2 linked regions of the Rhinolophus ferrumequinum genome follow. The protein of the gene in region 2 interacts with the protein of the main gene of each other region in a pairwise test. Links are inferred from orthologs where the notes say so. Each region holds a gene or a part of one and is shown on either strand. Other genes may lie near its edges.

Region 1 (16,318 bases), on a different chromosome or scaffold from region 2:
GGGCAGGGTGACCCTGGGTCCAGACGACAGGTTACATAACAGGGCAGGCCCAGGTATATGCTGGAGTGTCTAGGCAACAAGGACCTACTGTAAGTGATCAGCACTGATAAGATAAAAATGTTACTTCAAGATTGCTCAGGCAGTGATGTTTCAGAAAGGCTTACATTAGAAGATTCTGAAAGTTGGGAGGCTAGTCGAGCTCCAGAAACAACTACTGAGAACTCGTGTTTGAGGCACTAGACGTAAGGAAACACGGGCAGTTCCTGCCTGTGCAGAGCTCACAATTGACTGCGAGAGAAACCATGAACATGTCATGTGGGAGCTATGATTACACAGGTACACAGGGAGCAGAAGCCTGGGGGCGGGGCGGGGGGTATCAGGATTGGTGCTGTGGTTTGGAAAGGAAGACAGAAGGCAGGGATGTCACCGAGTTGGGACACTGGCTCTTAAGACGTATCTGCTGAAACAGCCAGCTCTGCGGAAATGGAAAGAGCACCGAGGGCCAGGGAATGGGTGGGGGCAACCTATCAAGATTATGGACCCAACAATGAGGGAGAAAGAGGAACCTGCTTTGAATGATCAAGCCAGAGAGGGGGTCAGCTCACTCTACTCCCAGGATCCTTTGGAACCTCCATCAGCTAAACTGCACAAAGCACAGCACAGGCTGGCAAGCAGGAAGAAGCTGGGAAACTAGGTTATGGGGACAGAAGATGGCAAATGGTGGCCTAGAAAGTGGCTAAAGATGTAACTGACTGGAGAGGGGCCTGAGAAATTCTGGGGCTTTCAGTGTCTTCTTTAGGCTTGGAGTTACACGTAAGCATACCATTGTCAAAGCTCAATGAACTGAACACTTAACAACTGTGCTTTTATTAGAAGTAAATTATGCCTCAACTAAAGAAATGACATAATCGAATTATTATACTTGAGGAGGGAAAAAGGGAAGACTAGAACAGTTAAGACTCAAAGAGGGAAATTAGACCCCAGGAAAATTTCCTAAGCATTCTGAGAAGCAAACGGTAACTGACACCCACTATTTATCAGACCCTGGGCTAGCCTCTCACCTATTTCACTTTATCTCCAGACCCACAATGTCCAGCTAAGCTAAGACAGTACTGTACTGATTAGACCAGAGTGGGCAATTGTGTAGACTGTGAGGGAAAAGATGTACAAGGGCTGGGTACAGTCCAGAAGGCAGAGGAAAAAAGGGAGGGAAGGAGGGCGGGAAGGAAGCAGAAGGAAAAGGAGGTGAGAGAAGTGCAAGAAATGCAGGAAATGTCGGAAGGAATTTCTTCAGAAACTTGAAAAATCAGAAAATTGGGTCCATCTCTGACCCCACTCTCTCTTCCACAAAGAAAGGAACAACACTTTTTTTAAAAAATCAAACTTAAGAAGTCAGAACTCTGCCATTAAAATATTTAAAAGCATGGAGAGATAAGCATCAAACTGTCACAATGCTAGCGGGAAGTTATACGCATACACCTACCGTGTAGTGTTATTTTGCCTCAGTAAACATGTGCTTTTCCATTATTTTTACCCAGTTATGTTTTTATCCCCAGTATGGGATCAGAGGGCAGTGCTGATGACAACTGGGTCCTGGTTTTGGTGGCACAGCAGCAGCCCGCACACCTACAGCCTGTGTTCAACACATCTACAGGGACAGCGTCCACCTCCACAGCCAACAGCTAGGACTGGGGACCTGAAGGTCTAGAGCGAGGGTAGGCACACTTTCCAGAAAGGACTAGATAGTAAACATCTCAGGTTTTGAAGGACGCAAAGTCTGTTACAAGTATTCTGCCATGTTGGCACAGAAGTGGCCTTAGTCAGTATGTAAATGACCAGTGGTGGACATGAGGCCAGGGGCCCCAGTGTGCTGCTCTCTGGTCTCCAGCAGTGGTTTTTGCTCCTGACACATATTCGAATCACTCGAGGGGCTCACTTGGGGGTGCCCAGATCTCACCACCAAGATTCCAAATCTGGATGGGGCCCAATTTTTTTTTTCATGCTACCAGGTGATTCTGATGTGCATCCGGGACTGAAAACAATTGTTGTAGAAGGAGAATTGTAGTCGCAGGAAACTGCTGGGATTTTTTCTTTTGTTTCGTGTGTGTAGGGTGGGGGAGTAGATGAAGCTGGAAGGAGTACTCAGGGTTGAAGTGAGACCTAGATTAAGATCAGAATTGTTTTCAACTCACCTGACAAGTTGGATGCTTCCAGGGCTTTGATGAAATGCTCTTTATTGGATGCTTTTGCGTGTACAGGCATTGGCCCACCCCAACGAGTCTGCCTCTTCCTCATGTTCAGTTAGGTGTCTCTTGGGGCTGGGCTCACAGTCCATAAGCCACTTTCTACCTAACCTCCTTTCTGGAACCATTCTCTATAGGCCCCTGCATAGTTGCGAGCCCTGTGGAGACAGGACCGGGTGAGGACAGGGCAGGCCGGGCACAGTCAGTCCCCAGTTGCCCCCCACCGGCAGCCACCCTCCCCATACCCTCTGTATCCAAGGCGCTGGGCCAACTGGGTGGCCTGCAAGCCACGCTTGCCTATCTGACAGAAGAAAATGAGATTGTCATCTTCCAGCTTCGGCTTCTCAGCGGAGTACAAAGCCTGGAAAGCAGCGGGCTCCATCTGCAGGGCACTTTCCAATTCAGACACTGGGAGGAAGAGTCAGAGGACAGAACGGAAAGTCGGAAAGTCGCAGTTTGGCGGTCTCAGGTTCAGAGGTTTTGCCTGGAAGGACTGGGTCCTGGTTGTCGAATAAATCTCGAGGGACCCCCAAAGCAACATGGCGGCCACCACCCCCAACCTCAAGGATAGGATGCCGCCGGCCTGCGCTGGAGGTCGGCCAAACCACCTGTGACCTGAGGCCGCTTTCTGGGGAGTGAGGAGAGGCGGGACTCCGCGGCGCAGCCTCGGGAGCCCCTCCCCGCCGCCTGTCACCTCTCAGACCTGAAGGGCCGGCTGGGGGGGAGGGACGGCAGAGCCTCTCCGCACCACCCTACGTGAGGCCCCTCGGCTAAGACCCCCTGGGTCCACCACGTGGCGGGCGCCCCCCCCAATCCGGTACCCGGAATATTGAGCGCCCCGGGGATGGTCCCGGCGGCCGCTTCCTCCCGAGACCTCACGTCCACAAGCCGGGCCCGGCCAGCAGCCAGGAGCGAGCGGAGTTCTGGGAGCAAGACGGTGGGTGCTGCGGGGGAAGGGGGCACGAATGCCTGGAGGGGCCGGCCTGCCGCGCTCCCACCCCGCACGGCGCCCCACAAGGTCGCACACCCCACCCCGCGGCATCCCAACTGGGAGGGGCACCTGTGGACTTCAGCCACGCCCCCCACCCCACTACACTCCTCCTGCGGGGCCACACGGAGGGCAGGACGCGACCCCAGGGCCCCCTCAGGTACCTGCAGCCATGGTGCGCGCGCGATCGCCAGCTGCAGGAATGCTGCCTGGCCGGCCCACGGGCGCCCGCATCTCTCCTGTCCCCCGGGAACAGAGACCGGAACCGGAAGCAAGGCATAGCCTCCCGCACCGGCCCGCAGCTCTGGTTCGCAGTGCAGCTAACACTCGCCAACCAGAGAAATCCTGGCGTATGTGACGACCCACTGGTCTGGCCCATGTACTAGAACTCGGAGTAACGAGCACAGGAGCAGCACACGGTGGAATCTTGGCCCAGCCCTCACTGGTCAAAGCGCAATGTGCCCCCTCCATCCCGCCCCAGGGGCCCAAAAAAGAACGGAAAACAGGAGACAACTGTGGCTCTGAATATTTTATCTTTAAAAAAAAAAAAAAAAAAAAAAAGGAAAGAAAAGGGAAAAAAGACACAGTCCCCAGGAAGGGGAAGATCCTTTGAGCCCCGGCCTGTGGCTCTCCCTGGCTCCAGAGGCTCCTGCATAGGCCTCGGCTGAGGGCCAGTCTTCTCCTCCTGGGGCAGCAGCCACTGCTCAGCATCCGTTCCCCAGCATCCTCAGGTGCACCTCTGACCTCCAGGGGAGGGAGAACCAGTGCAAGTTCCCGAGTCCCGGGGCAGCCGGAGCAGCACTGCTCAGCAGACCCTCTGCTGGCACTGTGAGCGAGCATTGGGCGACCCCCCACTTCCGTGTGTCCAGTACCCAGCATGGAGCCGGCACACGCACTGTGCGGGAGGGGCACCAGGGCCCAGGGCTGCGCGGTGGGGCTGGGCGAGGCTGTCAGGACACATCCATGTGTCACACCCCTGCAGGCTGCTACCACAGGGCCTCTGGACACACGCCTCTCAGCTCCCCCAGTCCCGTCCGTGCCAGAAGTGGGCAGTGAAGGAAAGGGGCCCAGGTTAGCCTGCTGCTCCTGGGCTGTCTGCAGTCCTGGGAACAGGGTTGTAGGGCCCACAGCCCCTGGATGCCTACAGCTAGTTGCTGTCACTCTTGATGACCACCTCCACTCCGTGGTGTCGCAGCTGGGCTCGCAGCAGCAGGTTCTTGTTTTTAAGATCTTCCACCTACCATGAGGAGGAGGCAATAAGGGGAGGGGTAGACGCGTGGCACTGACTTACTGAGATGTCCACCGCTGAAGGGAAAAAGATGAGAACGAAGTGCAGCGTCCCCAACTGGGCCAGAGGCTATGGGGTCGCAGGGGGCTGCACTGAGGGCAGGAATCTACCTGCTGTCGAAGCACGTCATTGTCCAGCTGCAGCTGGTCCAGCCCCTGCAGCTCTTCAGACAACCGGTGGTTACTCTGCCGAAGCTCCTGGATGTAATCGCAGGCTTTGGATAGAATCCCACCTTTGCTCTGCAAGAAAAAGCCAACAAAACGAGGAGTAGGATAAGACACGTGGCTTGCGTCCCAGAAGCACGCTCACACTTTGGACCTCGGTGTCCCCGGAGGAGCCTCAGACAGAGATAAGAAGAAAGCGGGGCCGTGAGTGCCCACTGGCGACCACATCTGGGAACAGGCCCAGGAGACAGAATTTGGGCCTCCCGCCCACCGCCAGGGTCCCGCCATGACCTGGCCAGACTTGGTGCTCTCCATGGAGCAGTCGGGGATGATCTTCGACAGCTGCACAATCCAGTTATTGATCTTGTCTCGGCGGCGGCGCTCCACTGTGGGGCAAAGTGGGGACAAGCTGAGCGGCGAGAGGTCCCCCTCTCAGACATCACCGCTGTCCCCGAGCCCAGCACCCCTACCTTCGTTATGCTGCGCCCTGCGTTTCTCATCCCGAGTTGTCCGGGGAGCTTCTGACTTCCTGACGACGGAGCCCAGGGCAGCCAGAGTGATGGAAGGTCAGAAAATAAGATTGGACTGTGGGGTCAGGAATCGCACAAGACTTGGCAGGGACTAAGACCACTCACGGAACTGAGAAGAGACAGGGTTACTCACGGGGAGTAAGGGTGGGTCCTGGGAGCAATGGAGCGCTGGCCACCTCCTTGCAACACTTCTTGTGGTGACATCATCACAAAGAACTGACCTGTGAGCGTGCAGGTGGGTGCCATAAGGACACGGGGCGAGAAACGTCACCCAGCTGAGGCCAAGGCCCTGGGACCCGCCCCTGACAAGAGAGAACTTCCTCCTGCTGGAAGGGCAGCCCCAGACCCCCCACCTGCGCAGGCCTCAGTGATCCTTAGGGGCCACGGGGAGCCCATGCCAGCCCCTCCAGCCAGCACCTCACAGCATCTCACCAGTGCCGGGAGGGGTCGCCTGTCCCAGCAGTGCCTCGGAGCCCTGGGTAGTGACCACAGCTGCTGTGCTCCCGGATGTCGTCCCTGCCGCCCCATCCCCCACGGCTGTGCTGGGGAAGTAAGTGTAATGCGTCTCAGCAGCTGTGCCCTCTGTGTCAACGCCATCGTCACTGGTGAATGCACCCTGGATCACCGCCTGCAAGGGGAGCAAGAGAACTAAGTGCAGTGACAGTCAGATAACCCCCCAAGGAACTGCTCTGTAGCGACCCTGAGGGAGAGGCATCCAGACAGGCACAGGCAGCCCTGGGGGCCTCGCCTCCTCCCCCCCCCCCCCCGCCCCCGTGCTGTTTCCCTTCTTCATTTCACTCTTCATAGAGCCAGTTCCCTCCCCCACCCATACCCCTGTACCTGGGTCATAGATTGAGTGGCAGGGTAGCCACTGATGGCACCAGTCCCCTCAGTCTGGCCATCCAGCTGCCCCTCGGACACCTGGATCACCCTGTACATCACCTAGAAGCAGGGAGGGGAAGAGAGGATGAGAGCGTACGTGTTAGGGCTCCCGGGGCCCCTCACAGAGCTTCTCGTGGATAGAATAAGAGCCCTTCAGGGACACAGACCCAGCCTCTCCCCCTCCTGCCCCCACACGGAGGTTTCAGCGTAGCCCTACCCCGTACCAATCTCTACTGCAAACGTCATGCTCCACCCCCACCCCCTAAATAGTCCACAGCTTCACCTCATCCTCCAAGCCAGGTCTCCCCTGACAGGTTCAACGACCTCCCTCAATCCCAACCCCCAGGAACACCTGCAGCCACCTGGCCCCCTCCCTTACCTGGCCCCCATTCTCAGTTCGGAAGACGTACTTGACGTTGGGATCAGGGAAAGTGGCGGCTGACTGGATGCTGGCGATAGCCACACTGGTTGGGTCTTCCCCAGTTGCCACTGCACCTGAATTACAAGAGCACAGGAGGTAGCCCATGGGAGAGAGAGCGGCCATGATGAGCTCTTGGTCCCAGCTCACTTCTGTTTCTACCACTCACCTTCCTGGATCTGCACTGTCCCCTCTTCCGTTTCAGCTGTTTTCTGCTGCCTGTTTGTGGAGGCATGGGGAGACATGGGGAGGATCAGGGGAGGAGTGACTGTAAAGCTCACTGGCCCAGTAACATGTGGCTCCCAAGCTCACTGGCATTCCCCACAGATCGAGGTTAGGTTAGAATCTACTGAGTGTTCCCTGCGGATGAAAGCCGAGCTAAGCACTGAACAGGCACCATCCTATTCAGTACCAAGAGCGGCGCTGGTAACACTACTTTCATTTTACAGAAGGGAAGGGCAGCCACAGAGCTAGTAAGTGATGGAGCCGTAACCTGAACCCAGGCCTGCCTGGCTCCAGAGCCAGTGCTCTGAGCCATTCTGCATTCTCTAGGCCTCCCGTCCCCCATCCCAGACCCTACCTCTTCTTCACTCACCCCTTCATCTCTCTGTGAGGGGGCACATCCGAGGAACTGGTCCTTCTTTGGAAGTCTTTGTATCTCCTGACTCACAGGCCTGAGTGCTAAGTCCTGGTAGAAATCAGGTAGTTTGCAGTGACTCTAGGAAACTGAAGAGCCTTCCTCCCAACCCCACCCCACCCGCCCATATCCAGAACTTAGGCTCCATGAAGACACAGCCAAGAACAGGGCACAATCAGCTTCCTCCATTCTGATGCTGGGGAAGGGGCTACAGTGACTGCAAAAGCAACTGTATAAACAGTGAACCAAGAAATGTCTGTTCTCAAACTTAGGAAGGGAAAACTTGAACCCCATTGCCGTTGGAAAACCCTCCCGAATTATCAATGCCACACTTGGCCCCCCGGGCCCCATTCCAGTGACAGGGCTCTTGTTTTGGGGTGTGCAGATTTATGTCATTTGTTATTGGTTAAAGATTCAAAAGCCCAAGTGTATCCTCTTCAAGCCCAAGTGTATCCTCTTCAAGCCCCATGTATTTTATTCACCGAGCCTAGAACAACAGAGTTGCTACAATGTTGCCATGACAACTCCAAATCAATGGAGCCTCAGCAAGAAGGGAGAAACCTCCAGGCCAGGGTTGGGAAAGACAAGGGACAATGAATGAGGGAGGAATCCATCCACAAAGTGCCTGCCTTAGGACCCTGACACCCAGCCAGGGGGCAGGAAAAACAACGGGTTGAGCAGACAGATGCCTCCAGAAAGAAACAGCTACATGGTACAAACCAATAAAATAAATCCCACATGAAAGGGTAACTTTTGTGTAAATTCTCTACCCATTAGGTCCCCCAAACCTTTCCTATCCAAGGAAAATCTTCAGCGGATGACCCTTGGAAAGCCCGGATCCAAGGAAAGTGTTAACCAAACAAAACAAAACAAAAAAGCAGAGGGAACTGAAAGTGAAACTGTCCGGAGGAAGTACCGCTGCAAGAAGCGCCCAGTCCCCAAGGGGAAGTGGCGCCGGCGTTGGGGACCACCTGCTTCTCCGTCCTGGAACCTGCGGGGACAGTGCCCCTCCAGGCTCGCGGCGCTGACTGCAGGAGGCGGCGATGAACGAGCGCCGGGCGCGGGAGGCGTCTCCAGCGCCCACAGCTGTCAGCCAGGGACAGCCGCCGAGGACAGCAGCCGGCTCGGGCTGCGCATCCACATCCTCGCGGGACGTGCGGAAGCATTTCCTGCGCACGAGGGGCACGCGACACCGAGAGCAGGAAGGGACGCTGGGCCGTGCACGCTCGGGCGACGAGGGCCCAGCGAGAGCCCTACTCGGTCCGGACACAAAGGGGCAACAGTCCCGTCGCGACAGCAGCCGGCGCGCAGACCCCGCCGGGGAGCGCGGCGGCGTCTCCCGCAGGCCCGCCGGCCACAGGCGCGCGCCCCGGCCCCGGCCCCGGCCCCGGCCCCGCCGAGCCGGCCGAGAGGGCGCCGCGCTCGGCCGGGCGCGCAGGGCGGGACGCGCGGGGCGGGCGCGAGTCGGCCCACAAAGCGGGTGGGAGATAAAGAGCCTGGCACGGCCCCTCCCTCAAAACAAAGGCTTCCCCAGGCGTCCCCAGACCTGAAACACGGAAACAGAGCCACGGCCGCCCTGTCTGGCCGGCCCACCCAGCCTCCAGCCTCCCGCGGGCCCCGCACTCACGGGCCAAGGCCGCCTCAGCCGCCGGTTCTCCCCGACAGAGCAGCCCCTGTCCCGACTCCGGCAGCTCCATGGACCGCTGCGCATGCGCGGCTCCGGCGCGCGGCCATGCAGCTGAGGGGCGGAAGTGCGGCTGAGGGGCGGAAGTGCCCCGTGGGCCCGCCCAGCCGGGAGCTGCTGCCCACTTCCCTTCGCTGCGCCTTGAGGGCTGCTGGGGGGAGCGTCGCGCGGGGGCGTGGCTGGGGCCGAGGGGCGGAGACTTCCCGGGAACCCGGAAGGATGACGCGAGGCTGCACTTTCGGCGACAGCTGGAGGGAGCCGCCTAACTGTGCTCCGCTCTTCCTGTTGGACGCAGCCGTTTCGTTCAGTTCCGGGAGAGGGAGTGAGGCCCGCAGAGATGTGGGCACGGGCGTGGCCGCCGCGCCGTCCTTACCGAGGCCGCCCGGGCGGCCAAGGGGGAATCGGGGCACGACGTGCAGTGTTTCCTGCTGGAGGCCAGGACGTGGCTGGGCGCGCTCAGGCCTGACCGCTGCACACAAACACCCCCGTCCCCGGGCCCCCAGCTTTTCAGGCTCAAGCCAGTGACGGGGACCTCGTTTCCCGTCCTCGTCGGTCAGCACCCGCCCTGCCCCCGTCGGGTTCGGAGGAGCGCGGCGTGACGGGACGAGCGGAGCCGGACTCCACGGGTCCCAGCCGCGTCTGCCGCGCGTTACCGCCCACACCGCTGGCAGGCCTTTGGGCTTCGTTAGCGTTAGTTTCCTCGACTACAATGGAGAGGCCAGTCCCCACCCGACAGAGCTACATACAGCCGAGGGCAGAGACTCCGTGCGCACCGGAGACCCAGCCTTCACTGGCGCGTGGGGAACGTTATGTAAACGCAGGTTTCTCTTCCCCATCTCCTGACCGCCAAGAACCCAGCTCTGGTTTCTAGCCACAGGTCTCCATGGCAACTGAGGAAGAGCTCACGAACAACAGGACGACAACAATTGGCCAAACTATGAAATTGTCATACCTATCCCCCGAGACTCGCATAAGAATAATGAAATTCCACACTGTTTCCATGTAAAAATACAACTTGTATTCTGAACCGTCACCCTGTCCTTAGAATGGGACTGGAGGCCCCAGCCTGCCTGGGGAAGCAATTCCCCTTCCCTGGAATAGAAGGAAATGACTCCAAAGGAAAAAGGAGATGCCAGACAGGCCTCTTCTTTCAAGGGACAGAGGCAGGGGTGGAAGGGGATAGACAGGGAGCCAGTCCCTCCAGCAAACACCGAGGTCTTCAAAGAGCCTGCTGGAGTCACTCCTACTCAGGGACTAAGAGGGCCAGCAGGGATACAGGGTCCAAGAACAGAACAAGCTGAGCAACCCTACAAGTGTTTGTGTGTGAAAGGCTCGGAGCTGGCCCTGTTCCCCACCCCCACGCTGGGGGCTTCCACGGAGAGAAGTTCACAGCCTCAGAGGAGGCAGAAACATGGCTGGAGTTCCCCCTTCAGTCTTCACTTTGAGAAGCCTCTTAAGTGTTCTGCCTGCTCTTTCTTCCCTCTGGCCAGTGACCTCACTCCCTAGGAACAGGACCTTTTCTTGGGGATCTCCTAAGGAATAAGCGCTTTGTGTCTGAGCCAAGTTCAGGCAAACCAACCGAGGCAGTGCCTCCCACAGTCAGAGAGAAGCTAGAGGGCCGGCACCCATAGAGGTGGGCTCCACAGCTGCTCAGGCTGCAGAAGTCACAGCTGGTCAGGGACCCATAGATTCAGGACAACTACTGTCCCCTTTGCCCAGTGCTCTGGCCGTCACAGTCCCTCGCCTTTCTCAGGGCTGGCCTGTGTCTCAAATGCATAAGTTCGACGCTGTGGGGGCAGAAAGGGGTGAGGGGGCTGGGCTTCTCTGGGGGGCAGGCTAAGCCGACTCCGGGATCCAGACCCTTCTGTGCCTTCAGATGGGAGCTCCAAGCAGCTAAGGGGCCGAAGGAAATGGGCAGGGGTCACGCTACAGGGGGAGGTTCTGGGGAGGACGCTGTAGTCCTCTCCCCCAGTACAGGTCTGGGTCCGCCGAACTCCCTGGGCCTCAGTCCTCTGTCGGTCTCGGGCCAGGGCCACAGCAGCATCAAAGGAAAGACTGCCCCCGTTCCTCCAGGAGGTGCGGGAGGCTCTGGACCCCCAAGCCCTCTCCCCAGGAGTCCCGTCTAGCCGGCCAGGCCTCGGGCATGGGTTTGCAGGAGCCACGTGGATCTTACTACACATTGCACTGGGCATCTTGGCAAACTGTGGCTTAGGGGGCACCACTGGCACGGAGCGCACCTGTTGGACCTGAACCAGGGTGGCAGCCAGGCGCATGCTCACACCACCGGCTGGGCCCAGGAGACAGGGCCGCAGGCTGCAACCCTCCGGACTGGGCTGCCCCTCAGGCTCCATCTCCTCGGGCCGAGGTGGCTGTGGGGCTGCCCGCTCCATCTCAGAGGGCTGGGCGTTGCCCTCTTTGGCACCGTCAACCTCCAGGGACTCTCCACAAGGCCCTTCAAAGAGGAAGTCGTCTTCTAAATGTTCTCCTCCAGCCATCTGGTCTCCCTCCGCCTCTCCGTCTCCACTCTCCCGTTCCTTGCTGACCTGCCCCACTCCTCCTTCAGCTGATTCGTCTGCACTTCTGCCGTCTTCACCATCTCCTTCGTCTTCTCTTGCCCCTTGGTCCCCATTCTCCCTCTGTCCTTTGACTTCTTCCTCGTCCTCTCTGCCTCCCTCAGCCTCTTGTTTGTGTCCAGCTCCCTGGCTGTCATCAGCACCTCTGTCCTCCGGGGCCTCGAGCTCTGGGTCCCTTTCAGCTTCTACCTGGGCTTCCTCTCCTTCCTCAGCCTCTTCCTCTCGCTCAGTCTTCCTTTCCTTCTGGTGTTTCCCCTGCTCCCCTCCTGTGTCCTCCACACCCTTAGCTTCCTCCAGACTCTCCTCCTCCTGCTGACCCTTGGGCTCCTCGCCCATGGCCTCTGTGTCTTTCCCACTCAGACTGACCATCACCTCCCGGCTTCCCCCAGCCTCCCCTCCGTCCTCACCTGCCTCTGCAGCCTCTAGCTCCCTCTCTGGGCTCCCCTCAGCCTCCTCCCTGACGTCCCACCTGCTGCCAGGCTCAGCCTCCTTGTCGTCCCCAACTTCCCCGTGTGCCTGCCGTCCCTCAGCCTGCCCTGGAGCCTCCTGAGTCCTGCACCCTGTGGCCTCGTCCTCCAGACTGCCGGGACCCTCCCAGGCCAGCGTTTTGGCCCCCAGAAGGGGACTTAGGTCATCGTAGGCACTCAGAAAGACTTCCTCCCCATTTTCCTCCTCTGCTTCAGGCCCGGGGCCAGCAGAGTCCAGGGGACAGCAGCTGGGAGCGAGGACAAACTGTGCCTCATCCAGCGACAGGTCATCCAGGGGCGGCTCCACAGAGAACTCCTCCACCTGTGGGCATAGCACTGTCTGAGGACCAGCTGGTCCTGCCTCCCCTGCGGCCAGCTTACCGCCCGCAAGCCCGGCCCAGCTCCTCCTCACCTGAGGCCCAGCTCCCAGGAGCTCCTCCAGGTAGCTCATCCCAGGATCGTCCTCCCCGGGGGAGAAGGCTGCTGCTGTAGTTCCTGCCTTGGCTGCCGCTCCATCCTCCGCCCCCACCCACTCGGGCTCTGAGCTGCTTGAGTCCTCGAGGAAGGAGAAGGAGTCCTGCACCTCCTGAGACAGGCAGTCCTCCAGTCCCGCGGCCACGTCCTCTGGGTCTGAGCCAGCCAGGGGGCTTGGGGCAGGACTGGCATCTGACTTCTCGTCTGTCGGAAGAAAGGTAGTCCCAGGAATACAAAGGTCAAAGCCCTTCCTAGCAATTGCTGCAGCGTGGGCCCAGCACCGGAACTTTTGGCTCCCAGCTGCCGTTACTGGGCTCCCACCAGGTGCCAAGCACCATCTATGCATTTTTCAATATGCTGTCTTACCTTCCACACAAAACCAGCCTATCGGGACATTTATCTCCATTATACATATGAGGGAACTGAGACTCTGAGAGAGAGTCAACACTTTGTCCCAGGTCACATAACAAGTAGCACAGACGAAATCTGAACCCACATGAGCCAACTTCACGGCCCACGTCCTTACCCACTGCCCTGTATGCCCCAGCACTTGTCACCAGTGACTCTTGAGGAAGTGGAGTCAGAGCAAAGGTCAGACCACAGCTCTGCCACCTCCCACCTAAATCAGTAACGAATTGCTTAATCCAAGTCTCAGGTAGGTCCTGCTGCTGTAACAGGATAACACCTGTGTCACGGATTATGAGAAAACGAAATAAGCTGACACCTGCAAAGCCCTTAGCTCAGCACTCGGTGTGTGATAAGCCCTTGATAAATGTCAGCTGTTAGAGTTAGTGTGATGACTGTTATTCCCATGACGTAGTGCACGTCCCCACCTTGGACTCGATGACCCCTGACACAGACCCCACCCTTGGGTAGATGACCGGTCCCCTCTCTGTGGGTTTCACACAAGTTCAGACATAATAAATATCACTGGATCCCCCAGCCTTGAACCAGGGAGCCAGCTGAAGTTACCCACCCAAAGCCCGAGGCCTGCGGCTTCCGATGTCCCCAACGTCCCAGGTCCACCTGGAGTTCTAGTCCCCTCTCCCAGTGCTGGGCGGCCCCTGGGTCCTCACCTGGGGGCCCAGGGCCAAGGCCGGGGCCGGGGCCGGGGCCAGAGGCAGGGCTTGGCCGGGGCTGCAGGGCAGGGCACTCCAGGCCGCGGGTGAGCCTGGCCAGGGCGACGTTGGAGATGATGTTTGGGGGCACGCTGAGGATGGAGCTGATGTGCAGCGGGAGGTTGACGTTGTAGGGGTCTGAGATGTGGACACCAGCACAGCGCTCCGCACGGCTGCTGCCTGCAGCACGGATCGCTGACCGCCCCGCTCGCGGCGTGCCGGGCTCAGAGTTGCTGCTGCCCGGGGCCTCTGCGTCCGGCTCTGGCTCACCGTCTGCTGCCTCCACAGACTCACTCTCCAAGCTCTCAGGCAGCAGCGGGCTTGGCCGGGGGCTGCTGGCTCCCACCAGCCCCTCTGGCTCTGCGGAGGGGACAGAGGTGGGCGACAGCCCCAGCTGCAATGGACCTGCACGCCTCAGGAATGCTCCCAGCTCCCTTGGCCACTCCAGCAAACACTCCACAGCCAGCAGGCCCAAGGTCACCTGCCTGAACTTACATACCAAGGACCCCTTTCCCTGCCTGAAGATAGTCACGGGCCGTGACGCCCACACCACTCTGTCTCTGCTTGTTCTCGGGACACCCACAGAGGGGCAATGAAGTCACCACTGTTAACTCAGCACCTGGCTTGGTGGCTGGTATGTAGCAGGCGCTCATTACATAGTTTTTAAGTTAGTGAGCACACTTGGCCACATACACACACACACACACACTCACACACACACATGAATTCACAGTGATCTTGTTCATAATACTGTTATGCCCTTACAGACACCCTCACAGACACGCTTCCACACAGGTGCTCACAGGCCCGTGCTGTTAATAACACAGCACATGCACGCACGCACATGCACACATGGGTATACGTGCACACACACACGCAGACACACAGGAATGCACACCTATACTCACCATCACCGGCCGCAGCCATAGCACTCAGTGAGTCCATGCTCTTGGCTGGCCGCAGAGTCCCCTTATCGGATTTGTCATCTGCAAGGCAGGGACAGCATAGAGGCAGGGCCTGGCCCCCCCACCCGCGCTGCAGCTCCCCCATACCTCCCCAGACTTACCCCTGTCCTCAGCCCCCCGCGGAAGTTTACGCTTGGTCTCATGGCCAGAGCGACCCAGATTGAAGATCGATCTCCATTTCCGGACCTTCAAAGACCCTTTCCTCCTGGAAGGGATGGAGAAATCACTGGGGTTGGCACCTGGCTGTCAGTGTGGGGCAGGAGGGTCCAGGAAGGAGGCCTTACTTGTGTTCGGCGATCTCGATGATAGTGTGGTAGGGCCGAATCTGTGGAGGCCCATCCCCAGCCTGCAGGACGCTCGGCAGCTGGTAGGGCAGGGACCTGGGCATAAGGTCCTCAGGGCTGCCCGACGCCCGGGCCCCTGGAAGGGACCGCCATCCGATATCCATCTCACCGCCTTGGAAAAGAAGAGGGATTGACCGGCCAAGAACAGAAACAAGACAGGGCTGCAGGCACCCAGCTCATCTACCTGCCCACTCACCCACTACCAGGCTACGGGTATGCCCGGAGAGCCCTGTCTGGCCCCTCAAGAGGGAGTGAGCTTTCCAGGACAAATGGCCAGGAGATCCCAATGACACTGGCCTGGTGGGCTGGCGTGACAATGATCAGTCACCAGCTTGAGAGCCAGGATGGCGATTAAGAAGTCAAGCTATGCCCAGACCGAGAGCAGCCTGCTCCAGTCCTGACTGCACCATAGTCTCTCCAGGCCCTCTCCCTGAAGAGGTGGCCGGAAGCACCACCTCCCTGCAAGGCTCGGTTTCCTCATCTGTAAAACGTGCAGACTGAACTAGAGCCCCTTTGAGGCTTCCTATGGCTCTGACTCGACTCCCAGACGGAAGTGCTGATTTGGCAGGAAGGACACTCACTCAAGAGGGCAGGACCCCCAAAGAGCTGCTTCACGTGCGTGAGGATGAACTCGACCACGATGGACTGCACACGCACCTCCATGAAGGCCGCCGTCCCATTGAAGCCTGAAGCCTCTATATCCTTAGACCTGTGGAGACGTGGAGTTATTCTCCCCCAGCCCCACCACACTGCCTTCCCTGAATTCTCCTTGCACATACTTTACACCCTTTCCCCTGCATGCCCTTAGAGCCATCTCCTTCTCTTAAACCATATGCACGATTCAAGTCTCAAATGCCACTTCCTTCAGGAAGCCTTCTTGGACATCCTCGTCTCAATTAATTTCTACCTTCTCGTACACCCAGGGTGCCTTGTTTATAATGAATATCGGGATTTCTCACAATCTGCCTTGCACCATAAAGAGTGATATGCAGGCCAGTTCTCCAACAGACTGCAAGATATTTGCCCAACAAACACTTGACGAGGACCTGTCCTGTTCAAGTCCCTGAGCTCGGTGACACTGTGATGATACTCAAAGGGCTGCCCATAGGGACTTTGCCCACACTCAGAGCAGGTTACGGGGTGAGCGCCACCCCACTCAGGGTGACCCTGCACCTCCGCGTTTCTCACCGGGCTCCGCGAGCTCCCCTCTGCCCTCTCCAGTGGACCCACACAGCCACAGCCCTCCCGGAGCCGTCCCCACACACTGCCCACCTCAGCAGGTTGGGAGCCCACACGATGGCCAGGTTGCGTGCGTGCATGTTGGTCTGAGCGCTGAATGAGGCCATGTGCACCAGGTGACGCATGAGGAACTCCAGGGTCCTGCAGAAAGGGGCACCACGGGCCAGCGGGTCACACAGGGCCACACAGGGCAGGCGTGGGGCTGGGGCCTGGGAGCTGGCGCCAGGAGGAGCGTGCGCCTGGGCTGTGTAGAGGCGTCAGGGTGGGGTGGGGGGCCACACACACCTGTAGTTTGGGACGGGGA
Region 2 (15,707 bases):
CCGACACCACACACACTCAGACATGCACACCCAGGAGCACGCGTGCACACTGAGAGCTCAGCCTCCAGGCCCCAGAGCCTGGCTGATCCTGTTTCCTCTGCCCTGGGCCAGGGTGTTGGAGGGGAGGGGAGAACTGTGGCTCCATGGGGCATGGCTAAGGGCCCCACAGAGGCAAGCTGTGCCCTATCTGGATCCCATTCACAGGCTTCATGACTCACCCCCTCGCCCCCCATGATTCAGTTTACACGGGTGCCAGGAGGTACTCCCAGCGAGGGTGGGGCAGTTTACTGGCCCTGGCCAGACCCGCCAGCCTTTCATCCTAGGATGGGAGAGTCCAAGAACTGGGTGACAGGCCCCAACTGCCCTGGGCCCAGGCCTTCAGGGAACAGGAGTTGCTCCAAGAAACTTCCGGACCAGGCTGAGCAGGCAGAGCCTTCCTGGGCACCGACAGCAGAGAACTTACTGCCCTCCATTCAGAGGAGAGGGTCTACATGGCACAAAACATAACATCAAAAGAATTCTCATTAACATTTATTAATTTCTTTTTTTTAAAAAAAAGATTTTATTGGGGAAGGAGAACAGGACTTTATTGGGGAACAGTGTGTACTTCCAGGACTTTTTTCCAAGTCAAGTTGTTGTCCTTTCAGTCTTAGTTGTGGAGGGCGCAGCTCAGCTCCAGGTCTAGTTGCCATTGTTAGTTGCAGGGGGCACAGCCCACCATCCCTTGTGGGAATCAAACGGGCAACATTGAGGTTGAGAGGACGCGCTCCAACCAACTGAGCCACCTAGAAGCTCAGCGGCAGCTCAGCTCAAGGTGCTGTGTTCAATCTTAGTTGCAGGGGGCGCAGCCCACCATCCCTTGCGGGAGTCGAGGAACTGAACCAGCAACCTTGTGGTTGAGAGTCCACTGGTCCATGCGGAAATCGAACCGGCAGCCTTGCCTTTGGCATTAGGAGCACAGAGCTCCAACCGCTGAGCCACCTGGCCGGCCCCAACATTTATTAACTTCTTTTTTTTTTTTTTAAGATTTTATTGGGGAAGGGGAACAGGACTTTATTGGGGAACAGTGTGTACTTCCAGGCTTTTTTTCCAAGTCAAGTTGTTGTCCCTTCAATCTTAGTTGTGGAGGGCGCAGCTCAGGCCCAGGTGCAGCAGCCATCCCTAGCTGCAGGGGGCACAGCCCGCCATCCCCTGTGGGATTCGAACCGGCAACCTTGTGGTTGAGAGCCCACTGGCCCATGTGGGAATCGAACCGGCAGCCCTCGGAGTTAGGAGCATGGAGCTCCAACCGCCTGAGCCACCGGGCCGGCCCCCTATTAATTTCTTACTATACCAGTCCCACACTGAGCACCATCCATGTTTTATCTCATTTACTCCAACAATCATGAAAATCAGGCATAAACATTATCATATCGTTTTTTACAAATAAGGAAACTGAGGCATAGAGAAGTTAAAGGAATGGCCCAGGTCTCATAACCAGGAAGTGACTCAACCCCAGGCTATCTAACTCCAGACTTCATGCTGTTATCCGCTTGGGGTCCAGAGCTGTGCTGATAGGAGCAGGGATGAAGGGCCCAAGACCTGACCTGCCCCTCCCCCAGTGGATCTCCACTGAAACTTCTGGTTTGAAGGATCACCATATGTAAACTACTAATCTGCGAGAAGGGGAAACTGAGGCTCCAAGAAGGGAAGGGACTGATGTGAGATTGCATAACAAATCAGAGGTGGGCTAGGGCTGGGACAATATCTGTGATGCCCTTCCAGCTGCCTGGGCTGGAGAGGTGGCCAGGGAGGGGAGGAAATTCCAGGGAAGGAGATGGTAACCCAACTCCTTTCCCTCTCTGCAGCCTCAGAGTCCTCATCTGCCTCATGGGGACAAGACGGCCATCAGAGCAGTGTGACATGAGGCTCAAAGGACAGCAGATGGACACTTGTGGGTGCTCAGCCGGCATCTGGAGAATGGGAAGGGTGATAACCAGGCCCTGGAGGCAGCAGCCCAGCCCCCCTCTCACTCTCCTCTTCCTCAGCCCAGGCCATCAAACTCAACTTTGTGTTGTTATCCCAAGCTGTGCTGGTAGGCTAAATGCAAAATCTCCCCAAAAGGCAAAATCTTTAAAAATTATCCTAAGCAGGTTTAAAAAAAAAAAAAAAAGTAATATCCTGCATAGTGCTATGGGACTGTATTGCATAAAGGATTTAATCTAGATGAGGGATTTATGGAAGGCCTCCTGAGGAAGTGGTGGGGAAAGTGAAATCTGCAGGGTGAGAGAGAGTTGGCTGTGTTAGGAGATGAGGGAGGGCATCCTGGGCAAAGGGAACAGCCTGTGCAAAACTGAGAGGCTCAGTCCGGCAGAGAGCCTGCAGCTGGGAGAGTAACTGGAGGCTGAGAAGGGAGGAGCCTGGGCAGGCGGCCCAGGTCTGGAAGGATCTGGAATGCCATGTTAAGGATTCTGGCTGATTCAAGAGACAGACTAATGAGACGTTGAGAAGCTCAGGTTTTGGCCACTGACTGCTTAAGTTCAAATCCTGGCTGCACCATGTCCTCATTGTGTGGCTTGTGGCAAGTTGCTTAATTTCTCTGTGCCTACATTCCCTAATCTGTAAAATGGGTATAATAGTATCATCTATTTCTACAGGGCTGTCGTGAGAATTAATAAATTGCTTTGAAACAGATATGGTTCATAAGAGCTCAATGAATGTGAGCCACAAGTGTTACCCTCTTGGCCTTCTAAGCACCCCACAACCAACATGCAACCTAAAAGAAAACAGGGTGTATCACGCACACCCACCCCACCCCTTCCCAGGCTACAGGGCCTCCTGTGTAGAAATGCAAAGGGTGCCATAGCTTGAAAGGGTCCAAGCCTAAGGGTGAAATGGTCAGAATTTTGAAAAGATTCCTCTGTGAACATTGTCAGGATTTTTAAAATCCCTCAGGCTGCTGGGTGGGCAATGGAAAAAAGGGAGCTGAGCTGGAGGCCTTGGAGAGTGTCCAGAAGAAAAAGGATGGGGCCTGGACTAAGGAGAAAAAAATGTTTGTTGAAGTGAGTTGAAATGTCACCTCCAGATGTGGGGTGACTGAAACGCTTATGCACTGCTGGTGGGATGTGAAACGGTCCAACTACTTTGGAGAACTGTTGGAGAGAATCAAAGCTAAATGTGTACCCTAGGACCTAACAATTCCACCCCTGGGCACATATCCAAGAAAACAGCAGCCTTATTCTCAATAGCCCCTCTGGAAGAGTCCCCAATATCACCATCAGGAGCATGAAGGGAGTGATTGTGGAATACTCGGGCAGTGACATGCTACATACACAGTAATAGGAGAGACCAAGCTACTACTTTATCCAATGATGCAGATGAATCCCTCACACAGGTTGAGGAAAAGAAGCCAGACCCAAGAGAGTGCACGCGGTATGGTTCCATTTCTACGAAGTTTGAGAAGAGGCAAAACTAACCTATGATAATAGAAGTCAGAATAGTGGCTACTTATGTGGGGAGGGAGGAAGTACAAGGAGCTTCTGAGCTGTTGGAAATGTATCTTTTTCTAAAATAAATTTTTATTTTTATTTGTTTATTTATTTATTTTTAAGGAGGGCATTGCTCACGGTGGCCCGTGCAGGGATATAATTGGCAATCTCGGTTATCAGCACCGCGCTCTAACCAACTGAGCTAACCAGCCACCCCAGAAATGTCCTATATCTTGATCAGGGCAGTAGCTACACAGGTTTACATACATGTAAAATGTCATTAAGCTGAACGTGTTTGATGAGTGCACTTTATGTACGTTAAACTTCAATTTAGTCAGCAAACTAAGTATAAGAAGCAAAATTATAAAACTATTAGAAGAAAACATGGGGGTAAATGTTCATATATCTAATAAGGGTTTGGTAGCCAGAATATATAAAGAACTCATAAAATTCAATAACAACACAAAAAGCAAGCAACCCAATTAAAAATGGGCAAAGGGCTTGAATAGACATTTGTTCAAAAAATATATACAAATGCACAACAAGCACATGAAAAGATGTTTATTGATCATTACAGAACACGATTGTTTTTTAAGGACGTGCAGATCAAACACAACGAGATACCACTTTACATCCTTTAGAATGTCTTTCATTTTATAAAATGGAAAATAAGTGTTGGCAAAGATGAGGAGCAATTGAAATCCTCATACATTGCTGATGGAAATGTAAAACGGTGCCGTCACTTTAGAAAACAGTCTGCCCATCGTTACAAGGTTAAACAGAGTTTCCATATGACCCAGAAATTTCACTCTTAGGTATACACCCAAGATAAATGGAAACACACGTCCACACAAACAACACTTGTACACATGTCCATGGAGCATTATTCATAATGGCCAACAAGAATGTCCATCACTTTAAGAATAAATAAACCAATTGTGGTATACCCATGCAATAGAATATTGTTCTGCCATAAAAGGAACAAAGTACTGATACATGCTACAACATGGATGAGCCTGGAAAACACTATGCTAAGTGAAAAAAGCCAGATGCAATAGGTCACATACTGTAGGATCCCATTTATATGAAAAGTCCAGAATAGGCAAATCCATAGAGACAGAAAGCAGATTAGAGGCTACCAGGGGGATGGGGGAGGGTAGAATTGGGAGGGATTACTTAATGGGTATGGGATGTTTTTCTGGGATGATAAAAAAAGTTTTGAAACTAAAGAGAAGTGGTGGTTGCACAACATTGTGAATGCACTAAAGTCCACTGAAGTGTACACTTTAAAATGGTTAATTGTATGTTATGTGACTCTCACCTCAATTTTAAAAATAAACTCCAATTTAAAAAGTGAATGGAAACTGAAAAACATAAACATCACCTCCAAAGCCCTGGGGGCACTGATAGAACCTACTGGGTGCAAAGCACATTCCTCCATTACCTCCTTTCTCCTCACTGCAGCCCCAAGAAGTGGGGATTCTCAGGGGCTCAGAAAAGGAAAGTGACTGAGCCAGGCTCACACAGCTGCCAAGAGACAGTGTCTGGGTCTCTCAGACCTCACAGCCCCCAGACTCCTCTAATCACTGGGGCCCCCTGGGATTCTCGCTTGGCCTCCCTGGGTCGGGGCTGGTGAGGTCAGGGGCCAGGAACGTTTCTGCAGCCACCAGGCAGGCGTTAGTGACTGAGGAGCTTGGAATGTGCTGCCTCTGAAAGGACCTCCTTGTGGCTCCACCGACGGTTAGAGCAGGAAGGGACTTTCAGAATCATGTAATCACACACACACACACACACACACACACACACACACACAGACACACACACACTTGAGACCTGAGCCTGGCTCAGGCACTGCCCCAGGCTGCGTGGGGAGCAGACTGGGTGGTGTTTCTGAAGCAGGCAGATGGATGCCGTCCAGGCTGACCTGATTCAGGCCCTGCATGTGCCCCGACCTGGCCCCCTGTGTCACCCTGACCTGTCCAGCTTGGACTCAGCCAAGGAGTCCAGATATCAGTTAATGAGCGTGTGTGTGCACACGTACGCTGCACGAGGACTTTAGGGTGTGATCAGAGCCCCAAGGGCTCCCAACCCTGGGGTTTTTATTAACATGTGTATTTAGTTTTACTATTTGTCAAGTTCTTACTATGCTGTGCTTACACATATGTGTTATTTCTATTCTCCAGCAACCCTGAGATGTAGTTATTATTATGTCTCCATTTTACAGATGAGCAAACAGAGGCATTGAGAGATTGTGTGCCTCACCTGGGTCATACAGCTGGTGAGCAGCAGAATTCAAACTCAGAGCCCAGAGTTGTCTGATTCCAGCATGTGTGTTCTTTCCTATGGGTCACACTGCCTCAAAAAATCTCTCTGTCTCTGTCTCTGTCTCTCTCTGTCACACACACACACACACACACACACACACACACACACTTCTACATTGCTCATTCTGGTAAATTGCAATTGGTTTCTTTTCCTTTTAGAGAAAGATAAGCATTGAGTAGAACAAGAGCAAGGAGGAGGCACCAGCCTGGTAACCACCTTCTGAGCGCCCAGCAATTTCCAGCTTACAAAGCACTTTCACATTTGTGATCTCATTTGATCCCACAGCAGCCCCATGAGGTCAGCAGGAGGCTCAATTATTCCCACAGGGACTGGGACTCAGAGGGTAGGTGACCAACCACCTAGGGTCACAGAGACAGAAAATGGTAGCTCTGGGACTGGAAGCCCAGGGCCAAGCTAGCCTTCTGGCTCTAAGTCCTGTGTGTAGCCACAAACCCCTGGCCTCTGTCCCCAAAACGGCAGCCCAGGACTCTACCTCCCTGAAGTTTTCTTTCCCTGAAGACAAAACTTGAGCTGATCAAATGGAAGCACCAGTAGAAAGCCAGAGAGCCCAGCTCTCTTTCTGTAGCTGTGTGACACTGGCAGTTCCTTCCTCCCTCTGGGCTTCAGTTTCCTCATCTGTAGAATAGGAGGAAGCAGAGAAACTTTGGGGTGGTCTCAGCACTGACATTCTGCACGTGTGAAAAGGCATCTATGAGGGCTTTGGAAGATCTTGCCTGAACCTGGGCTTGGAGCTCTCACAGCCCTAATTTGGCAAAATGCTTCAGCCACCCGTTTAGTGATCTTAGGCACTTCATTTCAACATCTCTTAGCCTCAGTTTCCCCATCTGCTAAATGGGAGTGATGATGGTACCTACCTCCCAGGGTTGTTGGCCTTTGGTTGTTGATATTTGACCTTGGCCTCAGTTACATAGACCTTTGACATAATCTCCAAACAAAGCTGATGACCACACAGCCCCAGAAGAGCGCGAACAGTATTTAAAGAAGATGGCATTTTTCAGGCCACAGAACTGAAAGGCTCTAACTGCTTAGAGAGGCTCTGAATTAAAAACTTGTTATAGCTCCTGAAACTATCCTGTGAGCAGCACAATTATATTGCCTCCTATTTGTGGGTAGTTCAAAGCATTAACTTGTTCACTGCAGGCATTTAAAATATACCACCACTTTTGTAACCCCGGTTTGTCATTTATTCACTTTTCGATATACTTGAATCTTAAAACAATGCCAGTAGAAGTGCCCCCACGCCACGACAGGAAGTGTTGGATGGTAGTAGTATTGTTCCTGGCATGAAATAAGCATCCAGTGAATAATAACAACAATAATAGTAATAGTAGTAGTAATAATTATAGTAATATCAATCATATTCAGAATCCCCTTTAGTTTCCAGACCCTTTTCACATTCTTCATTCCAACTCCCACGGGCAGCAAGGTATCTATGTGAGTATTTCTTCCCATTTTACGGATGGAGAAACCGAGGCCCTACCAGGAGGTGAGAGGGCGCGGGCGCAGGCTCGCTGTCTGCGCCTGGTGGCCGGGCGGGACGGGGCGGGGCCCTGGATGCTCGCAGGTGCGTAAATCTGCGGGGGAATCCTCGGCTCCGCCCGGGTGCGGCGAGGAAATTGCACCATGTATGGGCAGCTGCGTCAGAGGGGGCGGAACCGCCGCTGTCGCTGGAGGACGCCAAGTCCTCCCTTCCCTCCCCCCCAAAAAAAGGCTGCTACGGGACGGTAGGAGGCGTCGAAAAGTTCGGGGCGGAGTGGCAAAAGTCGGTGCGCCTGGAGAGGCGGAGCCCTGAGGTGACCCGCACCGCTGCGCAATGCCCCCACCCCCGTCGAAGTGGTTCAGCCCGAGAACTTTTCATTCATAAAAAGAAAAGACTCGGCGCGGAGCGAGTGAGTCAGAAGCCAAGCCGCCGACGCGGACCCCACAGTGCAGCCAGCCCAGGGCATGTTCCGAGACTTCGGAGAACCCGGACCGAGCTCCGGGGCCGGCGGTGCGTACGGCGGCCCGGCGCAGCCCCCGGCCACAGGCCAGCATCAGGTGAGGGGAACCTGATGCCTGGGACGCTAAGGTCCTCTGCCCCACGCTCCGGACTGGGACGGGAAGCAGGAGTAGGGACCGGCCCTGGGGGCCGTGGTCGTGGGTCCTGCCCACTCTTCGTGGTCCGCGGGCACTTTCCCTCACAGCCCCACGGAACGCGCGCGGCGGGCGGAACAAAGATCTGCACACGTCCCCTCTCTTGCCCCCTTTACCGTAGCTACCTGTCCTTCGGTCTCTGTTAACTTCTTTCTTTCCTCCTCTCCGCCGCTAATTTCTTTGTCACCTGAGTTAGAAGGGGACCCCGGACACCTGGGTTAGTCCTAGCCCTGACAGGGTCACAGGGTCTCATTCATCTCGGACTAAATTCCTGGGAATGGGATCGGAGTCCGAGCTGCGACTGAGATGTCCCCACACAGGAGGGAGGCGGGATCCATCAGCAGGCTAGCCTTGACAGACTGGGAATCCTCCGCACTCTCTGTGACCGTTTGTGTGTCTGTCCGTTTGTCTGTCCCTCTCTACCCGGTAGCCAAGTCCCTATCCCCTTCTCGGCGCAATGCAGTCTGGTGGGCTCCGGGACACTGGTTCTTGACCTCTTCCTTTACAAGTTGGGGCCAGTGGAGACCGCGAGGTGCCGGGACGTGCCAGGGGTCATGTGGCGGGTAACGCCCCCATCCCTGACTTTCGGCACCGAACGGCGCCCGCTGGGGGTTGGGGGGACCCGGGAGACAGCAGGTGCCCATTTCCTGTCGAGGGGCGGCGAGCACGTGTCGCTAGGGGAGGGAAGGAGCGGCGTCCGTTCCGCCGAGTCACGGCGGCCGAGTCACGGTGGGTGACTCACCCGGGGCGCCCCTCCCTTCCTGGCCCGGAGCGGCGGGGGCCCGGACAACCTCGGAGCGCGAGATGCCCCCGGCGTTGCCTCAAGACCGGAACTGGGGTCACTGGGCCACTGGGACTTTAGCGTTGGGCCGGGGACACCGCTGTACGGACTTGCCTGGGCTTGAGATGGCGCTTCCCGGACGACGGGGCGCCCACACCCACAGCCCAGTCCCAGGGCTTGACCTCAGTTCCCCTCCCGAACACTGAGCCCCCATCTCAACCCATTCCTCACCTTTCTGACTGAAAGATACCTGGAGCACAGACCGTACAGCCAGGCATGCTGGGCGGTTTTCACCGCATTTACCGTATTTCACAGAATCTAAGACCCTATTCTTTTAAAACCCATCATTATTTTGTACCACTAAATTTCTTTAAAAGTTGCCAATTAAACTATGCTTTCAGATCAACTAAAGGGTACTTCTTAGCATCAATGAAATGCCATAATCCTCACCTATGACAATATTAAAACCGAGGAAACTGAGGCACATTGAAGTTAAATAACTTGCTCAGAGTCACAGCCAGTAACCGACTGAGCTAAGATTAGAATTGGGACAGCCTGAACCCAGAGCAATGTCTCTTGCCCCCCACAACCCCTAGTACCTGCCACTTACCAGGCTCTGTCACACACATTATCTCACCTGATTCTCACAGCCACCCTCAGAGTTAGGAGCTGTAATTATCCTCTTTGTGCAAATGGGACTCAGGCAGGATGCAGGAGTGGGTAAGAGCCTGGCTGCCTGGGCCCAAACCCCACTTCCCACTTACCAGCTGTGTGTCTATAGACAACTGTTTTCCTGTCTGAAAATGAAGATACTGTTGTGCAAAGTATATGAGTCAGTATTTGCAAAGTGGTTGGGACAGTGCCTGGAATTCACACTTTATAAGTATTAGCTCTGATGGGAAAATGGAGGTAGAAAGAGGTTATGTGACCTGCCTAAAGTCACACAGCTCACGAGTGGGAATTTGTCAGTCAGTCTCTCTGACTGCCAAGCTGTGCCCTTTCTGGTCTCTCAGGGGCTGTCTTGAGGATGGACAGAAGTGTGGCTTCTGTGTACCGGAAGCCCCTCGATCCACACAGACCTCACCCCTGGCCTTCCATTTCTTATTCCTCAGAAGTTCCACTTCGTGCCAAGCATCAACGCTGTGAGTGGCAGCCAGGAGCTGCAGTGGATGGTTCAGCCTCACTTCCTGGGACCCAGCAACTACCCCAGGCCTCTGGCCTATCCCCAATACAGTTACCCACAGCCCCGGCCAGGAGTCATCCGGGCCCTGGGGCCACCTCCAGGGGTGCGTCGCCGGCCCAGTGAACAGGTAAGGAACAGAGGCTTTGCACTGGTTTTGATGCCCTCAGGGGTGCTAAAGTGCACAGGACAAGCTCTTGCCCAAAAGGAGAATACAGACTTCGAAGGGGGGAGAAGGTAGCACCACTGGTGATTATTGGCCAAGGAGGAAAATACAAGGAATCCCTGGGGAGACCCAGAGGGCAAAGAGGTCACTTTTGGATCAGGGAGGCATAGTAGCAAAGAAGTATGGGTAGGATTTGCATAGATAGAGTTGACATTCCAGGTAGACGGGATGGCAAGAGCAAGAATGGAGATGGAGGTGAGGACATGTAAGGTGTGCATGTGGAAAGGTACATGGACAGTAGTGGGTATCTACCTGTTGATATGTATGAAGAGGGTGGACTTATGCTGCCTCCGTAGCTTGGGAAAGAACAGAGAGGGTTGCCTTTAGCTACTTTTTAGGCCTTTTTCCCTTTCATTTAAAACCTCACAAAAACCCTCTGGGGAATGCGCTCTGGTTTTCCCCATATTACAGCAAAGGAAATGAAGGTGCCGAGAGGTAAAGTCACTTGCCCAAGATCGCACAAGGAGTGAGGAATGAGACAGGTCTATCCAATTCTATAGTTAGATCCTAACCACCAAGCCAGCCTCACCCAGAGCTAAGAGAAGGCTTGAAGCAGAGTAAGCTGGGAATTCTTGCCTCCCCAACCAGGGTTCCTGCCTGCACACTGCTAATAAAGTCCTTAACAAAATACATAAGAGATAGAGTCTTTAAGGGAGGGGCACCTCTTTTCTCTTCCTGGAGCATTTGGTATATGAGACTGTAGTGGGTGAGACTTACACGTTCAAGTGATTGCTCTGACAGCAGGGTAGAGGAGGGGGAAGGAGGCTGGGATCCTGGGAAAGATGCACACTCAGCCACCGGAGGCTTTCCCAGAAACAGAATGGTTGGCCTTTGTGACCAGCGGGAAGGGGACTGTGATGTGAAACCCAGAGGCAGACTCCTGGGTTTTCTTCCTTCAGGGTGACCTTTGATTCTGGGTACTCATAGACTGAGGCTGAGGTGTGAGTGGTGTCCTTTCGGGGGAGGTGCTCTCCATCAGCTGGCGTCCTGCTTCATGTTGAATAGAGTGGATTTTAATTTCTGCTCTAGGGCCACAAACAAGTTATTCATCCTCCCTGGGCTTCAGTTCCTTATATGGAAAGTTGTGTTAAGAATGAATCTACCTAAAGTGCTTAGCTGGCACACAGTAGATTCCCAATAAATAACTACTTAGCAGCACTCATTAGCCTCTCCTAGTGCTTACAGCCCTTGGAAAAGCGGAGACTTGGTTATCAAGAGACTGAAAAGAATAGGGGTCCTTCGAAAAACAGTGGCGGTCCCAGGAGCGCCAAGGGGAAAAGGCCACTTACTTCTAGCTGGGGAATGAGAGAAGGCTGCTTCCCGGAGGCGGAGGTATCTTAATTGAGTCCTGGGAGATGAGGAGGTTTGTAGAGGTACGGGGGAGGGCATTCCAAGAGGGGCATCGCAGAACACAAAAGCTGGGTTCGAGGAGGAAATTTGACTAATGCAAGTTTACTAAAGCGTGTGTGCGGGGAACCGGTCAGGGTGCGATGATACTTAAAACGCAGGATGAGGGCACCCCCGCGCTGCCATGCCTTCCACCAGGGTCCTACCACTGGGTCACCGCACCAAGCAAGTGGCCAACAGCCAGTGGCCCAGGATCCACCTCATTGCTCCCTCAACCCCCCAGATCAGCCCAGAGGAGGAGGAGCGCCGTCGAGTGAGGCGCGAGCGGAACAAGCTGGCCGCGGCCAAGTGCAGGAACCGGAGGAAGGAACTGACCGACTTCCTGCAGGCGGTGAGCATCGGTCGGTGCAGAGGGTGTCCAGGCCCGGGTCCACCGAACCTCCGAGGGGCCCCGGCTCCCGTGAGCCCACGGGGCCCCAGTATATGAAGTCCTCTCCCCCAGCTCCCTGTCGGAGGGAGTCCTTCGGGGAAAAGGACGAGGAAAAAGGGATTAAAAATTAGTTGCAACATGCCTTACTCGGAGCAGAGCAGAGCTGAAGCCTCAGCTGACAATCTCCTAAGACTCCCCCAGCCCGATTGGAGTCGTGCCCCTTTTCTCCCAAGGGCTCATGGGAGTTGTAGTTCAGACTTGTAGACTCCACTCATCCTACCCCAACCCCGCAATTACTACCACCGCGGCTCGGCGCTCATCTTCTTGACTCCTCTCCTGACCCTCTTCTTGCAGGAGACCGACAAACTGGAAGACGAGAAATCAGGGCTGCAGCGAGAGATTGAGGAGCTGCAGAAGCAGAAGGAGCGGCTGGAGCTGGTGCTCGAAGCCCACCGCCCCATCTGCAAAATCCCGGGAGGGACCAAGGAGAGGGACACTGGCGGCAGAGGCGGCACCAGCAGCCCACCAGCCCCTTCAGGCCCTGTGCCTTGTATCTCCCTGTCCCCAGGGCCTGTTCTTGAACCCGAAGCATTGCACACCCCCACGCTCATGACCACACCCTCCCTGACTCCTTTCACCCCCAGTCTGGTCTTCACCTACCCTAGCACCCCTGAACCCTGTGCCTCAGCCCATCGCAGGAGTAGCAGCAGCAGTGGGGATCCGTCCTCTGACCCCCTCGGCTCCCCCACCCTCCTGGCCTTATGAGGCACCTCAGCTCCCCTCCTTGCGGGTGCTACACTAGCCAACATCTCCCCATCCTTTGGTCCAGCTGGCCTGGGCCATATCCTGTGCCCAACCCCAGCAGGTTCTTCTCCATCCCTCCAGATGAGATTGAGCATATTTTGCTTCCTGGGTGAGCCAGCTTGGGGCCACCAAAGCTGCCCAGTTTCTCTAGAGCTGGCCTCTCTAGCACAGTTTGCACTAAATCAAAGAAAAAAGATTTCCCATTTGTGCAAGAGGACTCCTGGCAGCCCCAAAGGACTTTGTAGATTCCTAGAGGTCCTCTGGAGCCCTAACCCCCTCCAGACCACCCCTATAGTCTTCATCACCCTCTTCCTGTGATCCACCCAACCCTACCCCTTGACAAGTGATATGCTACCAGCCTAGAACACTAACTCACCCTGCCCCACTGCCAGCAGCACCAGGTGATTGAATCAGGGCATTTTGCCGGCTCCTCTTGAATGGCACAGCTCAAGAGGGTGCCAGAGGCTTCTGTGATGAGCTGACCTGCAGCCCCCAGCTCTGAGAAGACTTTAGCTCCAGAGATTCCAGGGAATCCAAGCCTCCACCGCAAGGGCAGCTGCTATTTATTTTCCTAAAGAGAGTATTTTTATACAAACCTGCCAAAATGGAATAAAAGGCTTGAAGCTTTGGCCTGGTTTCATTGGAACCCAGAGGCTAAAGGGAGAACATTTGGAGCCAGAAGCCCTAGGCTCAGTCCTCAGCTTCACCGACTCACTGCATCAACGTGGACAAGTTATTTGATATTTCTGGACCTCGACTGTCTTATCTGACAAATGAAGTTACATCTGTTCTGCCTCATCTCCAGGATTGAGAGGAAGAGAGTGCTGTGGGATGCAAGCCAAGAGGGTTGTCATCCTCCTCCTGGTGGGGGCCCGTCTAGCTCCTGCGTGTGCCACAGGAGGGCGCTGTTATCGCTGTTAAGCCCCTTCCAGCCTCAGGGGAGGTGGCTGAGTGGCTTGTAGGCCCCCAACACCTGCTTCCTGCCCCATTGTCTTGGACAGGAAGGAGCCGGGAAGAGAGCTGGAGCCACTTCAGGGGCTGGATCAAGGCCTGGCCGGGGCTTGACGGTGGTGGTGGGGGAGGTGTTGCCAGTGGCTTACCACGGTCCCACAGCCCGCCTCAGGCTTGAGGTAATGGGAGGAATCAGACACCTTAGTTCTGCAGCCCCTCTGGATGAGAATGATACCCGTCTCAACATCCCCGCCCTTGTCCTAACCTTGGCGAGTCCCAAACAGACGCTGCCCAGGCCAAGGGCTCTGCTTCCGTCCCAGTTTATTAGACCCCACCCAGCCCCCTGCAAGTCCCTCCGCTCCACTTCCAGTCCCCCTGATGCCCTGCCAGGGAGAGCGAGGGCCCTCCTCAGTGCCAGGGTTTCTAAGTCCATGCCTGCGATCGCTCGTGTGTAGCCGGGGAGGCTTCCAGGTCCTGAGGTCCACCGCAATTCGGGAGATTGGGGAGCCATCCCGGCGGGCGTCGGCGCGAAGGAAGCTGCGTCCTCAGTCATCTGGGGAGCAGGCCAGGGGCAACTGATCGGGACTCCCCACGCTGCCAGTGCTGGAGCTTCCATCGCCCAGGTCGCGGGGCCCGCAGGGGGGCAAGGCGAGCTCGGGTGTTGGCCCGGCGCCTGAGCCCCCAGCGCCGCCGGGGCCGCCACGGGGGCCCCATTCCTCGCCCAGCGCCAGGCAGAGCTCCTTAAGTGCAAGGTTCTCCCGCAGCAGCTCCTCCTGGCGGCCCTCCAGCTCGGCCAGCTTCTGCCAACAACCGCCGAGGTCCTCGCGCACGGCCCGGGATGCTTGGGTCCCGAAGAGCTGCCACTGGCGCGCGGCGCGCCGCCCGCGCTGGCGCTCCGAGTCCAGGAAGCAGCATAGGTCGCGCAGCTCGCGGTTCTCGGCTTGGAGGCGCCGGTTGAGCTGCTTGAGCTCGCGGATCTCGCCCAGGTGACCCTGCAGCTGCCGATTCACCTCCTGCATGAGGCGGCCGCGCTGCACCAGAGCCGCCAGGCGCGCCGCCTCCTCCCGCCGTAGGCGCCGCACCAGCTCTTCCTTGCCCAGCGCCGCCATCTCCTCGTCCGTCAGCTCCTCCAGGCCGCCCACCTCGGCCTCCATGGCTGCTCAGGCCTCTGGAGCATCGCCTGCCCGCCGCCGCAGCCCGGGAGCCCCACGTGGAGCCCAGCACCTCTCTGGCTCCGGCTCCTGCTCCGCGGAAAGCAGGCTGTGGCAGGATAACATAGGTTGCTGCAACCGCGCGGGGGTGGGCACGCGGCGTGGCGCGCGCCGGGGCGGGGACGCGTTAAGGAAGAACAGCCAATCCAGGGAAGCCTCCCCAAAAGCGGTGGGGCCTGAGCTCTGAGAACGCCCCTTCCCCGCCCACTCCCGACCGCCGAGTCCCAGATTCTACCCGACTCTGGATCCCGGTGTCCTCGCACCCCGCTCCAGTCAACCCAAAACGAGGCGCTTCGTACCTCCCAGTTTCAAACCTCCTTGAGTTCGAGCCTAGGCCTCTCCGCTCCTGAGACCCAATTCTCCGGAGTGGTTCCTGGAACTCTCCCGCCCACTCCCCTACAGACCCAGACGGATCGTCTTTCCATCCTTCCTTAGCTCGAACTCGAGAGTCTCGGCTCACTGAGCATCGCTCCCGGCTCCTCCGACCCCTAAGTCCAAACGTCCTGGCTCACCATCAGCCTACCCTCCCTGCCACGGAGCGTTTCCTGCCCGGGAGTGGGGAACGGGGTGACATACAAGGGATTCATTTGTTCAATAAACTTTTATTGTGTGCAAAATCCATGCAGAAATAAATTTGATCAATGTCCTTATCTTGTCCTCAAAGAAGTCTTAATCTGGCAGGGGAGAGAACCTTTGTTAAGAAGCAAATGGAAGAGGGACACGGTCTGAAGGGACACCCCCCCCCCTCCGCGAAGGGTTTCCCAAAAGAGGTGATATCCAAGTGCCCCTGAAAGATGCATAGGACTTTGTCAAGTAATGAGAGAGTTTTAT

The links.
Region 1: the proteins of FOSL1 (region 2) and USF1 interact in binary tests that used the Homo sapiens proteins (3 or more experiments, as listed by UniProt). The link is inferred for Rhinolophus ferrumequinum from reciprocal best matches to the Homo sapiens genes FOSL1 and USF1.

The regions. Positions count from the first base shown.
Region 1 is NC_046305.1:2,244,458-2,260,775, forward strand, and holds USF1 (upstream stimulatory factor 1), read right to left. Parts: upstream 8,916-16,318; 5' UTR 8,778-8,915; intron 8,029-8,777; exon of another isoform or gene 7,939-8,028; intron 7,202-7,938; 5' UTR 7,117-7,201; coding exon 7,109-7,116; intron 6,733-7,108; coding exon 6,683-6,732; intron 6,591-6,682; coding exon 6,475-6,590; intron 6,156-6,474; coding exon 6,054-6,155; intron 5,842-6,053; coding exon 5,646-5,841; intron 5,435-5,645; coding exon 5,347-5,434; intron 5,213-5,346; coding exon 5,154-5,212; intron 5,070-5,153; coding exon 4,975-5,069; intron 4,759-4,974; coding exon 4,630-4,758; intron 4,469-4,629; coding exon 4,379-4,468; 3' UTR 3,748-4,378; downstream 1-3,747. Other genes in the region: TSTD1 (thiosulfate:glutathione sulfurtransferase), read right to left, coding at 2,350-2,401, 2,489-2,651, 3,065-3,187, 3,396-3,465; ARHGAP30 (rho GTPase-activating protein 30), read right to left, coding at 10,565-12,196, 12,287-12,552, 13,425-13,826, 14,375-14,452, 14,533-14,636, 14,716-14,887, 15,357-15,484, 16,048-16,155 and 1 more.
Region 2 is NC_046294.1:5,926,670-5,942,376, forward strand, and holds FOSL1 (fos-related antigen 1), read left to right. Parts: upstream 1-6,988; 5' UTR 6,989-7,757; coding exon 7,758-7,850; intron 7,851-9,839; coding exon 9,840-10,037; intron 10,038-11,763; coding exon 11,764-11,871; intron 11,872-12,264; coding exon 12,265-12,675; 3' UTR 12,676-13,343; downstream 13,344-15,707. Other genes in the region: CCDC85B (coiled-coil domain-containing protein 85B), read right to left, coding at 14,211-14,819.